Linked DNA regions of Oryzias latipes. The protein of the gene in region 3 binds, or shares a complex with, the protein of the main gene of each other region. Links are inferred from orthologs where the notes say so. Each region holds a gene or a part of one and is shown on either strand. Other genes may lie near its edges.

Evidence for each region.
Region 1: gtf2e2 (region 3) and polr2k share a complex: the UniProt entries of both Homo sapiens proteins name them as parts of the TBP-based Pol II pre-initiation complex. The link is inferred for Oryzias latipes from reciprocal best matches to the Homo sapiens genes GTF2E2 and POLR2K.
Region 2: gtf2e2 (region 3) and ercc3 share a complex: the UniProt entries of both Homo sapiens proteins name them as parts of the TBP-based Pol II pre-initiation complex. The link is inferred for Oryzias latipes from reciprocal best matches to the Homo sapiens genes GTF2E2 and ERCC3.

The regions. Positions count from the first base shown.
Region 1 is NC_019869.2:7,013,627-7,018,058, reverse strand, and holds the start of polr2k (DNA-directed RNA polymerases I, II, and III subunit RPABC4), read right to left. Parts: upstream 2,897-4,432; 5' UTR 2,783-2,896; intron 1,718-2,782; 5' UTR 1,640-1,717; intron 1,557-1,639; exon of another isoform or gene 1,077-1,556; intron 773-1,076; exon of another isoform or gene 667-772; intron 1-666. UniProt on the Homo sapiens protein: DNA-dependent RNA polymerase catalyzes the transcription of DNA into RNA using the four ribonucleoside triphosphates as substrates.
Region 2 is NC_019861.2:14,793,267-14,796,270, reverse strand, and holds the end of ercc3 (general transcription and DNA repair factor IIH helicase subunit XPB), read right to left. Parts: intron 2,212-3,004; coding exon 2,062-2,211; intron 1,020-2,061; coding exon 882-1,019; 3' UTR 522-881; downstream 1-521. UniProt on the Homo sapiens protein: ATP-dependent 3'-5' DNA helicase/translocase. Binds dsDNA rather than ssDNA, unzipping it in a translocase rather than classical helicase activity. Component of the general transcription and DNA repair factor IIH (TFIIH) core complex.
Region 3 is NC_019859.2:11,941,290-11,944,942, forward strand, and holds part of gtf2e2 (transcription initiation factor IIE subunit beta), read left to right. Parts: intron 1-1,729; exon of another isoform or gene 1,730-1,879; intron 1,880-2,748; coding exon 2,749-2,831; intron 2,832-3,213; coding exon 3,214-3,321; intron 3,322-3,653. UniProt on the Homo sapiens protein: Recruits TFIIH to the initiation complex and stimulates the RNA polymerase II C-terminal domain kinase and DNA-dependent ATPase activities of TFIIH. Both TFIIH and TFIIE are required for promoter clearance by RNA polymerase.

The DNA.
Region 1 (4,432 bases), on a different chromosome or scaffold from region 3:
AACCAAAACATAAAATGGTTGCTATGGAGATAAAATCAACAGAAAAGCCGCCATTTAAAATAAAAGTGGATTTTTTATCAACGTATGATATGTAGCTCTTACTAATGGAGCAATGTGTTTTTCTGAGTAAGTTGATGATGCTGATCGCTAAGCTAACACTTTTAGCCATACTAGCATAACTTTCATTGTTAGCATAATTAGCATCTTAAGCAATGTGTTTTTCTGAGTGAGTTGATGATGCTGATCGCAATGCTAGCAATTCTAGCCAAAATAGCATATCTAGCAGTGTTAGCATATTTAGAGTCTTAAGCAATGTGTTTTTTCTGAGTACGCTGATGATGCTGATCGCTAAGCTAGCACTTTTAGCCATTTTAGCATAACTACCATAGTTAGGATGGTTAGTATATGCATTTTTTGGGTGGTGAGGGCGGCTGAGCTGCATAGAGGTGGGCAGCGATAGCGGAGGTGGTGTGTAGAAGCGGGTAGCGCCTACAATGCCACGTACGGCTTTAATTTACATCTATAATTTTGTCTGCTGTGAGTTTTCCTGAAACTTTTGCTATGAACTCTATTAAAAATTGTCATATATTAGCTGGATGGTTCATATTAAGGGCTATTTTTATTAAAACAATGACACAAAGTTAGGTGAAATTGTTTTTTAAAAGAGAAAATGAGGAACGCTTCACGAATTTGCGTGTCATCCTTGCGCAGGGGCCATGCTAATCTTCTCTGTATCGTTCCAATTTTAGTATATGCACTAGAGAACTAGTGCAATGAGCCAATGTCTCGGAGTGCTTTTTAAACCCTCCCCTCTGCTACTCTTCTCAAGCATGAGGTGTGATCTGAGGGAACACAGTGGACTTTAAAGGGAACCACAATTAAGACAAAACACCAAAAAAGATCCTCTGTTTCTCCCATGACACAGGATCGTCTCAGGTTCACCATCTCCATTCAAAGTTTGACTTAAATGCTTAAATCAGATTAAAATTACATTTTTTCTGACTTTGTGAGAGACTTCTTGGAAGGATTCTGGGAAAAGAAGGGGGGTTTTGTCACGTCAGACGAGTGCGACTGGTTTCCCGGAAGCGCCAGAACAAAAGGTCGAGTCAACACCCCTCCAGGAGGACCTTTACCAACCCCCACCGCAGCTCCAACCAACCCCCATGTGCTGATGGTTACACACACAGGGGTGGAGACTCTTTCAGACAAGGATCTGTGTGGAGAAAGAGAAAACTGGTCTGATCGCGTCAGACTGACGTCATTCTGCTGCTGCCTTCAAGCAGGAAGCCAAAGCGACGACTCGCTGCAGAAAGATCAGCTCAGAGACGAGAGTCTGTGCTTCTGCTTCCAGCAACAGGACGAACAGAACTCACATGGACCTAAATTCAATAAGAAGAACCCATCAAAGACCAGGATTATACACTTTCATTGGTGCGGAGACGATCCTGAGTGGCTTGCTTCCCTGTTGAGAGCCTGTCGGCTCCTGGTTGAACTAAATTCTGACCATTTCCTGCTTTTTCTCCAATATGCTGCCTCTGAAATTCTTTAAATACATTGTGAGCATCTGTGAGGTAAAATTCTACTTCAAAAATCCTGTTTCTAAACACAAAGATACAGTCATGTTTAATGCAGAAAATACCTGCTGTAGATCTGCCACATGGTGCCGCTGTTTCACCGCTCCACCTGGAGATTCATTACATGGAAGCGTTGCATTCAACTAAAATAAAGAAACGGTGGATCTTCATTATATTTATTCTGTGGAATTTTGTTCCAGTATTTCAAGAACTATAAAGGCAAATAACTTCATTTGCTCATCAAACATATAAGATGAGCTGCAATTAGAAGTTGAGAATGTGTTCGTGTCACAGACACATCCGGTCACCGGTCTGCTTTGTTTTTTTCATACTAACTTTATCCACAAACATGACGTTGGATATAGTTCTATTGACTAGTGTAAACTTTTTATTTGTGTCTGTGGTGAAGCAGAAAACGAGTCACAGCCTGAGTTTACTTCGATGTGAAGCTACAGAGGCAGACGGGGACCGTCAATAAAGTACACCAAAACACCCCAGACAAACAATAGCAGTTTCTCAGTAAGTCAACATAAATAACCTCTAAAACATTACAAGTACTCACTATTGTTCAAACAAACTCCACATAAATCCATACTATTACTTTATTACTGCTTTTCTTAGAGTGAACCAGCGTGTTGGAGTCACCCAAGTTGTAGACGTGTCCTTATCACCTCGCTTTAGGACAACTGCCGTAGTCCTAAAAAAACAGTGATCAAATGATCAAATAACTGGACCTTTTCTACGCGCTTTCTGGCCGTCCAAATGCAGAGAAATTGACGACAAACACCCACAGTCAGCAATAAATAAGAAGTTTAACGTTATTTACTGGAACGGAATGGAAATTTGGTGAAATTAGCGGGCCAGAAACTACTTTCAAATCCGCCATTTATTTAGATTAGAGCTTTGAACGTTAGCAACAATTAAATTTGTTTTTGTTTTCTACTAATAACACATCATTAAACTGTGTTTTCGACAAGACGAGCAACACATCTATTCCGTTATCTCACGAAAGCAGTAGTTATAATCTCGTAATATCGACTTAAATCACTCCAGAAAGTGAACTAATTGAGCAAACACGGCGGCCGTCGTCTTTCGTTTCCCTAAAAGCTTTGAACAATTTCTTTGATCTTAACCGCCACGCATGAGCTGCTCGTCTTCTCATGATTGTCGCATGTGTGAAGCTCAGAAAGCAGAATTCTGCTCCTCACCGTCGTTTGGACTCAGGTTGTTCGGGAGAAGTAGGACACGGAAGCACAAAAGCCGAACCCAGAGCGGTTCTGATCCGAACCTTTCACGCTGGAGTCCAGTAGGTGACTAGTCCGAGACATTCAGGGAACGTCCGAAAAAGAAAATCTCTCTTGAAAAAGTTTAGGAATTTAAAAAACAATAAAGAAAGCACAAGTAGGATTTTGTTTATCTATAAATGGACCCCCCCCACACACACACACACACTATAAAATCATTACTTAAATAAATAAAACAATAAACTAAGAAATGAGGTTTTTAAAGACAAACACAGTAAAAACATTGATTTCCACCTTTAATGAATGTCTGTGAATCGATCAATCGATGACCTCACGCGTTCATGGTTTTCATCCATTTACAGGTTCTTTCTGTTGAGAGAAGAAGTGAATCCCTTCCAGTTGTTTGTTTCTTTAGAAGAATCAGCAGCAGAGGATCTTTATGCTGCAACCGCGCACAGCGGGCCGCGAACTCGGGAGCTTCTGCACGGCGAGAGGAAGTCTTCCTCCGACGGGCCTGATCAGAGTGTTCCAACTTCTCAATCAATCAAATGGCCAGAATTGTTCCAATTTCTAGTATCAAACTTTGCTGTGTCCAATCAGAGAGCCGGATTCGTTCCAATTCCTTCAAATAACTGCCGGTTTTCCATTATTTTAAGACAAATAAATAGTTTGCATTATTTCAAGTGTCTAAAAGAGATTAATGTATTTGTGAAGAAGTGAACTCACGTTGTTACGTGTGTTTTAGTGAAAAAGGAAAAGGAAAGAACATATTTAATACAAAGTTTGCAGGCGGAGATGATTTTGTTTTTACAGGGAACGTTTATTTGCAATAAAAGTAGAATTGAAAAGAAAATATCAAGAATAAACTTCTTTTGAATCAGAACATTTTTAATAATAGGAATATTGTTTCCACAGAAAACTAAAATGTGTGCAGAGATTTAAATGGAAATGAGATCCAGCAAAGTACCAGGAGTGAAGAAGCTGAGAGGAGATTTCTCCGATGATGCTGTGATGATGAACCTGCTGGTGTTTCTGCGGCAGATCTAACCTCTGTCATTGTTCACCAGCAGAAACCTGGAAAAACACAGAACGACCCACTGACTGACTTTGGATGAAGAAAGAGGAAGACTCCCACCAGCTTTCATGGGAGAAGAAGGTCCAAGGTGAGGCAGGTCGTCAGTCTTGGGAAGGGATGGGAGAGGTGGAGTGGTGGATTCTGGACCCGTGCAGAAGCTCATGAGTTCATGTCTCACTTTGTACACTCAGACTGAAAAGGTTCAAATCATAGAAATGCAGGAGAAATCTAAAAGATTTAGCAAAGTATTTGCATCTCTAAATACTTTGAAATTGGGCTGATTTGGTGGTGAGAGATGATGCATTGAATCATTTGGCACAAAGAGATGTGAAAGTACTGAGTAAACAAATTGTTTTGTGCTTTTTTTCAGACTTAATCATCGACAAAACAAAGCTGCAGCTGCAGAACTCTCCGTGTTCTGGACAGATGTGTTCACCAAAGAGGGCAGAACTCTCTCATCACACATAAACGTCAGCTAAAACTAAATTGGATCAAGGTTTTTTGAAGCTTAAGCATTAGAACAAAAAGTGTGGCGCTTC
Region 2 (3,004 bases), on a different chromosome or scaffold from region 3:
TTCATTCATCGACACTTAAACTGATCAGCGTGTTGGGCTTAATGTAAAGCGTCATGGTGCTGCCTGAGGACACTTACTCTGACCGACTTTGAGGACACTTCGACACGTGGAGAAGCTGCTTTTCAAACTGTTGCAGAGTGTTCTGAATGAGCTCGGAGTTGGCAGCATTGATAACTATCACCGTGTACACTTAACAAACACGTTGAGTCAAATCTACCTTAATACAATTTACTCCCTCTAAACCAATCAGTGGAAGTTCCCTAAGGTAAAAGGTAATAGACAAGGCCTTTCCATGCCCCTGTGCCCTGTTTTTAAAAGAAAATTTTTCATATAGCTGCAACTGGAGGGTGATTGGTGCAGAGTATGGAACGCTTACATTTATTTAAGACACAACCATGTACTTTGGCACTGTTTAAAGCCTCAAAGATGTTAATTACAAGATAGAAACTTGATGACAGATCTGCTAGAGAAGGACTTGGTTGATTTTTTCTTTTCATGTCCTTCATAGAAATGAATTATTATTATAATAGATCATATGTTTTATTTACCTCTGGATAAGAAACAACATCAAATATACCATTAAGAAATATTAAAAGGACATAATCAGTCAACTTTCAAGGTTAGTCTAGGAACAACAACAGATAAATACAAGATGAGGTCTAGGATTCCATTGTTTCAGCTTTACAGGTTTTCCCAATTAAAGCAGTTTAATGTACATTTCATGAACAAAAAAAGGTATAAATGAAACACCACTGTTAATTATTTCTGGAATAAAAAAATATGTAGAACAAAAATTCCAGTCAAGTTTTTCTTATTGATCCTTTTATTTTGAAAAACCAGTAGGCTGGAACAATAACACTAAATCCATACTAAACGCAGAGCTACTTTCTAAAGCGCTTGAACAGAGGATGAACACTCTTAGCGCCAAAAGAAGCCTTGTTGCTTTTGCTCTGATACTCCATGTAGACGGTGTCATCTGCACCTGACATGGAGCTCATGGTGCCCGCTCGCCTTGAAACCTGGTAAAAAAAAATGAAATCAAAAAGTAAGTACAAGTGTTCAAAACCAAAAAGGATTTTTTTCTTCTTAAATAAAAGCAGATGACGTGAGCCACAGCAACATTCCTTATATTAAAAAGGTATTACTTTGTCCTACTTCTTCATTTGATAAGGGGGTAGCTAAAAACACGTCTTTTGGTGTGAGCTGCACGACTCCACCACAGAAGTCTGGAAAAAGTGGCTCTATTGTGTATCTTAAAATAGTCATTCATGTTTAGATTTTTAACATTTAATGACTGAGCAAAATGATACACATACTCTTATCTTCTGCTGTACACGAGTGTCTAGTTGCTGTTCAGAGGCAAAGCTGTTAAAGTATATAATTCTATAGATATATATTTTTGATTCCACACCAATGTTGTCATGTTTGTTCCCGATAGGAAAAGGGGAAAACAAATGAAGGTGCACCAAAAGTCAAAACAGAAAATGTCATGTTTAACTTGCAGTTCTTAACTCTGTAAATCTGCTACAGCTATCTGTGTCTTATTTGACACAGGGTGTATTTTATTTTGAAAGGAACTTATACTGCTGACAAAAGTAAAATAATTGTTATATATGTAAAAATATATCACTTTATCACTACATTTTTTTACTATAATTCAATTATTGTTAAAAGCTACATTTGATAAATAAATGGATCAATGGCAACAGAACATAAGTAAGGTGTATTTTTCTAAACTGTGACTTTGCAGCTCTGACTGGATTTGAGTTAGAAACTGGCTTAAATCACTGTTTTAGCGTTAATGACTGCAGACCCCTGCTCCACCACCTTCTATTAGGTCAACAATAAACAAATGGCAAAACAACAACGTGGTGGTGTCGTCACCTGCTGGGAAAGGTAGGACCAAACTGTCTAGACTTCCTTATAACTGGGTCCAAGCTGAACAAACAAGTTGCTTTAGTTCATTGCAGGGTTGATTCTTCTATTCCTAAATCCATTAGTAAAAGTTCTAAATGAATTGTATTTATTTATTTATGTCTTTATTTTTAAATAAATTTTTACCTGTGGTCGAACGCCCAGTTCAGTTGCCACTATTTCATCCTCCGCGTCCAGGTCTGAAGCAGCTAGGACCTTCTGAAGCAGCTGCTGCTGTTCCTCTCGGGTGGAGAACATCAAGTCCTCTTCGTCCATACCTGCCAACTTTGTTATCACCTGTGGATGAACAGTTGGAGCAGATGAGGAAAACTCAAGATATTCTTCCTGAGTAATGACCCCCTGTTTCTAGTAGGAGCCAAGAACATCTTGGGATTCAGTTCATACATTTAGGGGATCCGGATTTATCGGCAAAGGGCCACACATCAATGCTATGTTCACAACAGCCTCTGCAACGGAAGTTCAAGCGACTACTTCAACAACATATCAAAAACCCAACAGGAGTGGGATTATTTAAGTTCACTTCCTTCCACTCCCTTTCAAGCAATCTTTGATTTAATGTCTAATTATCCTAAGTTTGATACGTCTTTATATAAATGCATAACTGCTGATTGTATTGTTTTGTGCATTATCCTTGCTTTGATTGATTGAAATAAACCATTAAAAAAAATGTAAATGGCGTAAAAATAAAATGTTACTAGAAAAATTCTTCGGTTTGGCTAAACAAAGTTACCTTTTGTGCTGCCAAACAGACTGTAGTTGTTGCAAAGAAAATCTATTACAAGTTTAAAAAAAAAAAAGAAAAAGTCTAAAATTCATTGCCTTTTTTATTTTTTTTAGTAACTTTTACTGACTTGTTGGTCTTTGTTTCCTCCAAACTATGTAACCTCTGAAAGTGACAACAGTCAAGTCTTCTTAAGTAACAGTAACCACGGATGCAGTGAGAAAAGAACTGGAATTTAATGTAACTAAATAGATGCAAAGAGATCCAAAAGAGGGGGGGGGATGAAAGATTTTTTTATCCAAACTATGTGAAATGGGACGGCAGAAAAGAAAAATGTTGGTGATCCCT
Region 3 (3,653 bases):
TAATGGTCTGTAGCAGTTTTTCAAAGCAGAAAAAAGGCTTTTGGAATAACTTTTATTTATGTTTTTAAAAAAGTGCTCGAGCAAGTGCCCAAAACAACTGATTTAATAGCAGATATGTAAATGAGATCAAACAAAATCAGAGAATCATTTAACAGCTGGAACCTGGGCGTACGTCCAGGGCATCAAAAATAGTTTTTCTTACGCTGTTAAACTTGCTGCTGGACTGGTTTAACGCCGAGAAGATCTGGTAATTTAAAAAAAATATATATTTTTCAAAATAAAAGATAGCTGAGACTCAAAATCACCCGATTGGGTGGAAAACTGCAGAATCTGGCGCAGAATCTATTTGCCACATTCAGGAACAGCAGAATCTGGCAAACAAGGAATCTGCGCTTCCGTGTTGGGCTCCTGTGACGCATCGACACAGTAGCTGTATTGGTCATGTAACTTTTCCTGAAGCGATGCGCGCACCAGCAGGGTTTCACTTTATGAGCTTGACATGTGTTTCTCAAAAATGCATCAACATTAACTATAAATTGAACCACAGAAATATAACCTTTATTTTTGTATGTTTATTTTTGTTGTCTTACATTGGACTTTTGTCTTTTAACTAGCATCCCCTAACATTTTGACTAAAGCATACTGATTAAGGTAACTGCAGTCTGAGAATGTTTGAAAATGGACAATTATTTATATACTTAAACGTTTTTGAATAATCTAAGGGGAGACTTGGTCTCTTTTATGAACTTTTTCCTAAGAATTCTGCCTCTTATTTTTGGATTCCTAAACAAAAAGTGACGTCAAATTATATTCTTTAAAAAGCCACTGTGCTTTTTTGTTGCTTCTCTTATTTTTCACGAGCTTTGGAAATGTCGAACTTTGTTAAAAATGTGTTTTTGCTGAGACATTTGGTGAAGTTCTTATCAAATGTTGAATTTAAGCACAAATGTAAACACGATCAAAGTTTGTATTGTGTATAAGTTGGGAATTAATTTGTGGTTGCGTCCGTTTGTCATTCCCCGCCTCTCGTCTCTAACTGCTGCACACTGAGCATCCTCTCCCTGTTAATCAAGCACTAACAGCTTCATCATCACTCGTCGCTATGACAACAGCCTCTTTTATTGCATGTGTTTTGGCCAGCCTCCTCCCTCCCCCCCCCTTTTTCTGTCCATCTCCCCTCACCAATGCTCTCTCGGCTTATCCATTATCCTTCCTGAGGAGTCGCACAAAAACCGGGACGGTGCAGCATCTGTTACCTCCCTCCCCTAAGCGAGCGAGCCCCACCCCGGCCGGGCTCTGTGGGCGGCATTGGAGCCACACATTTGCTTTTTCTCAACACGCATTCCAAAAAAAAAAAAAGCTGTCTGGTTCCTCTCAGTCTCGACTGATTTGTGCGTCCGTTTGTTCGCTCAGGTTTTGTGCGTTTCAGCTGTCACAGGTACGGCGCCCGAACGTGGGACACTCACGGAAATGGTCCCTGGAATGATGGTCCCTGAAACCCGAGGAGCGCAGACTGATCCATGTTTATTTAATCAAGCGTACCCATGAGAAATCCTGGCTTCGGAATATTACAGCTGAGGAGATTGAGGGCTGCTTTTGCCGTTAGCGCGCACAAAAGTAGCTTTTAGAAATGATTGCTAATATCAACTGGAAAATCCTTAAAAAAATGGCAGATCCTAAAAAAAAGTGCCATTTTAAGAATCCTATTCAGAGAAACATGCAGACTCACCTGTCTGGCTGTGGCTGAAGATAGAAGACAGAAGATGCTCTCTCCTCTTTTCACTGCTGCACCTGTCTGTCGGTATTCCCCTCTTCTCAGCCTGCACTCGTCATGGGTTCAGTCCATACACTCCTCCTCCTCCTCTTCCTCCCCCGCCACTCCTTGCAGTGACCCCCCCCCCCCCCCTTACACCCCTTCTTTTCCTCTGCCTTAGCTCCATTTGTTAGCCAGCTTGTCATCGTTGTAACGTCCCGCCTACTCTGCAGCTTAAAGCTGCAGAGGCTCCAGCTCACAGCCTGAATCACTTAAGTTTTCACCAAATGCTAGATCCATTTAATATTCATGTCTTATCAGAGCAACAGATTAAAAACGGCTTAAAAAAACCCAAGGAAATGCAATACTATTTTTAAAGACCCATTTGTTAAAAATCGTGCTTTTGCTGTTTTTTAACAGGGTTTTTTTTCTGGCATTTTTCTGCTGACAGAGGACTTTTATTTTGAAAATTTAGCTTGAAATAGCCCTTTTGAGTTTTTTCTTGATTCAAATCCTCCTGAATTAGAAGTAGATGAGAAAACACCGTCTGAAAAAGATGATATTTGTGACGTGGAAACGGTCGGCGGGCCATGAGCTCCCTGCTCCGCTCCATTCTGATGCATCCACCTGTAGACGACTAGATCCACGAATGCCTTTGCTTTCCTCGCTGGACATTCGGCGAGCATGTAAACAGAGAGCTCTCAGCAACAAGGAGGGGAAAGGGGGGTGGTGTAGCTCCGCACCAACATTCCCCGTCCACACCTTAGAGGCAAATTTGGAATGAACTCCTGCCGCTCTGCAGAAACGACGTCCTAGAAAACGACACAGGTTTTCAGATTTGGGCGTTAAAACGGACATCATCATAATTAAAAGACCACTGGGAACACTTTGACAATAGATCAGAAGATGATCGGAGTGGGACTTTAAGTTTGTGTTTGCCAAAATGGCTTTAATCTCAACCGTAAAAAGCTTTTATTTTGAAATGTCATTCACAGAGAGCAGTAATGGCAACATCAACATCAAAGCAAGCTCCGGGTACAAATTCGGCTGCCTGGCTAAGATCGTCAATTACATGAAGGTAAACATGATGCTTTCTGTTTGTAGTCCAGGGTAAAAAATGTTTTTTTTTTCTCTTTTGTTTATTTGTTTTTTCCCCGGCACATGTTTTTGACGAACGTGTGAAGTTCATTTTAGCCCCCACATTAGCATCCACATCATTGACCTGCTTGTGCTCTCTCCATCCAAGCTGAGCAGTGGGCCGTGTCAATCTCCCCGACTGACTGAATCGGCTCCCACTTCATTCCACCGATTCTCTCTTTGTGTTCTTTGAGCCATCTATCTGTTGAATGCAGCGGCTCCAAGTTACCCTAAACCAATGGAGAGATGCACGGCCCGCCTTTTCACTGAGAGACTCCGATATGATGTGATGTTTTCTGACTTGTTTTGGTGTGAAATTACAGACCAGACATCAGAATGGCGACACACATTTCCTGGCTTTGGATGAGATTCTGGATGAGACCAAACTTCTGGACATCAGTATGAAACAGAAGCATTGGCTCATGACAGAGGTGAGTTTGCTGCTCCTCCCAGCTGTGAAGTGATGGAGTTGGTGTTTTGTTAGAAACATTTACCCAGCATCCAAGCAGCAGCACTGCGACTTCAGTTCGTTTTGAAGATCAACCTTTTCAATGAATGAGATCTGTCCAAAAAATAACAGAGAAATTCCACAAGGATCTGGATCTAGACGACAACTTCATCTGTCAGACCCAGAAGTTTTCAACCGAAACTGGAAGTCTCCTTTTCCAATATTCCTCGAAAAAACTTTATTTTAACAAGCGACTGTAACAGTTACAGTTTTTCTGTTTCATATGATGCTTTATTTAACCCATCGTGACGATCA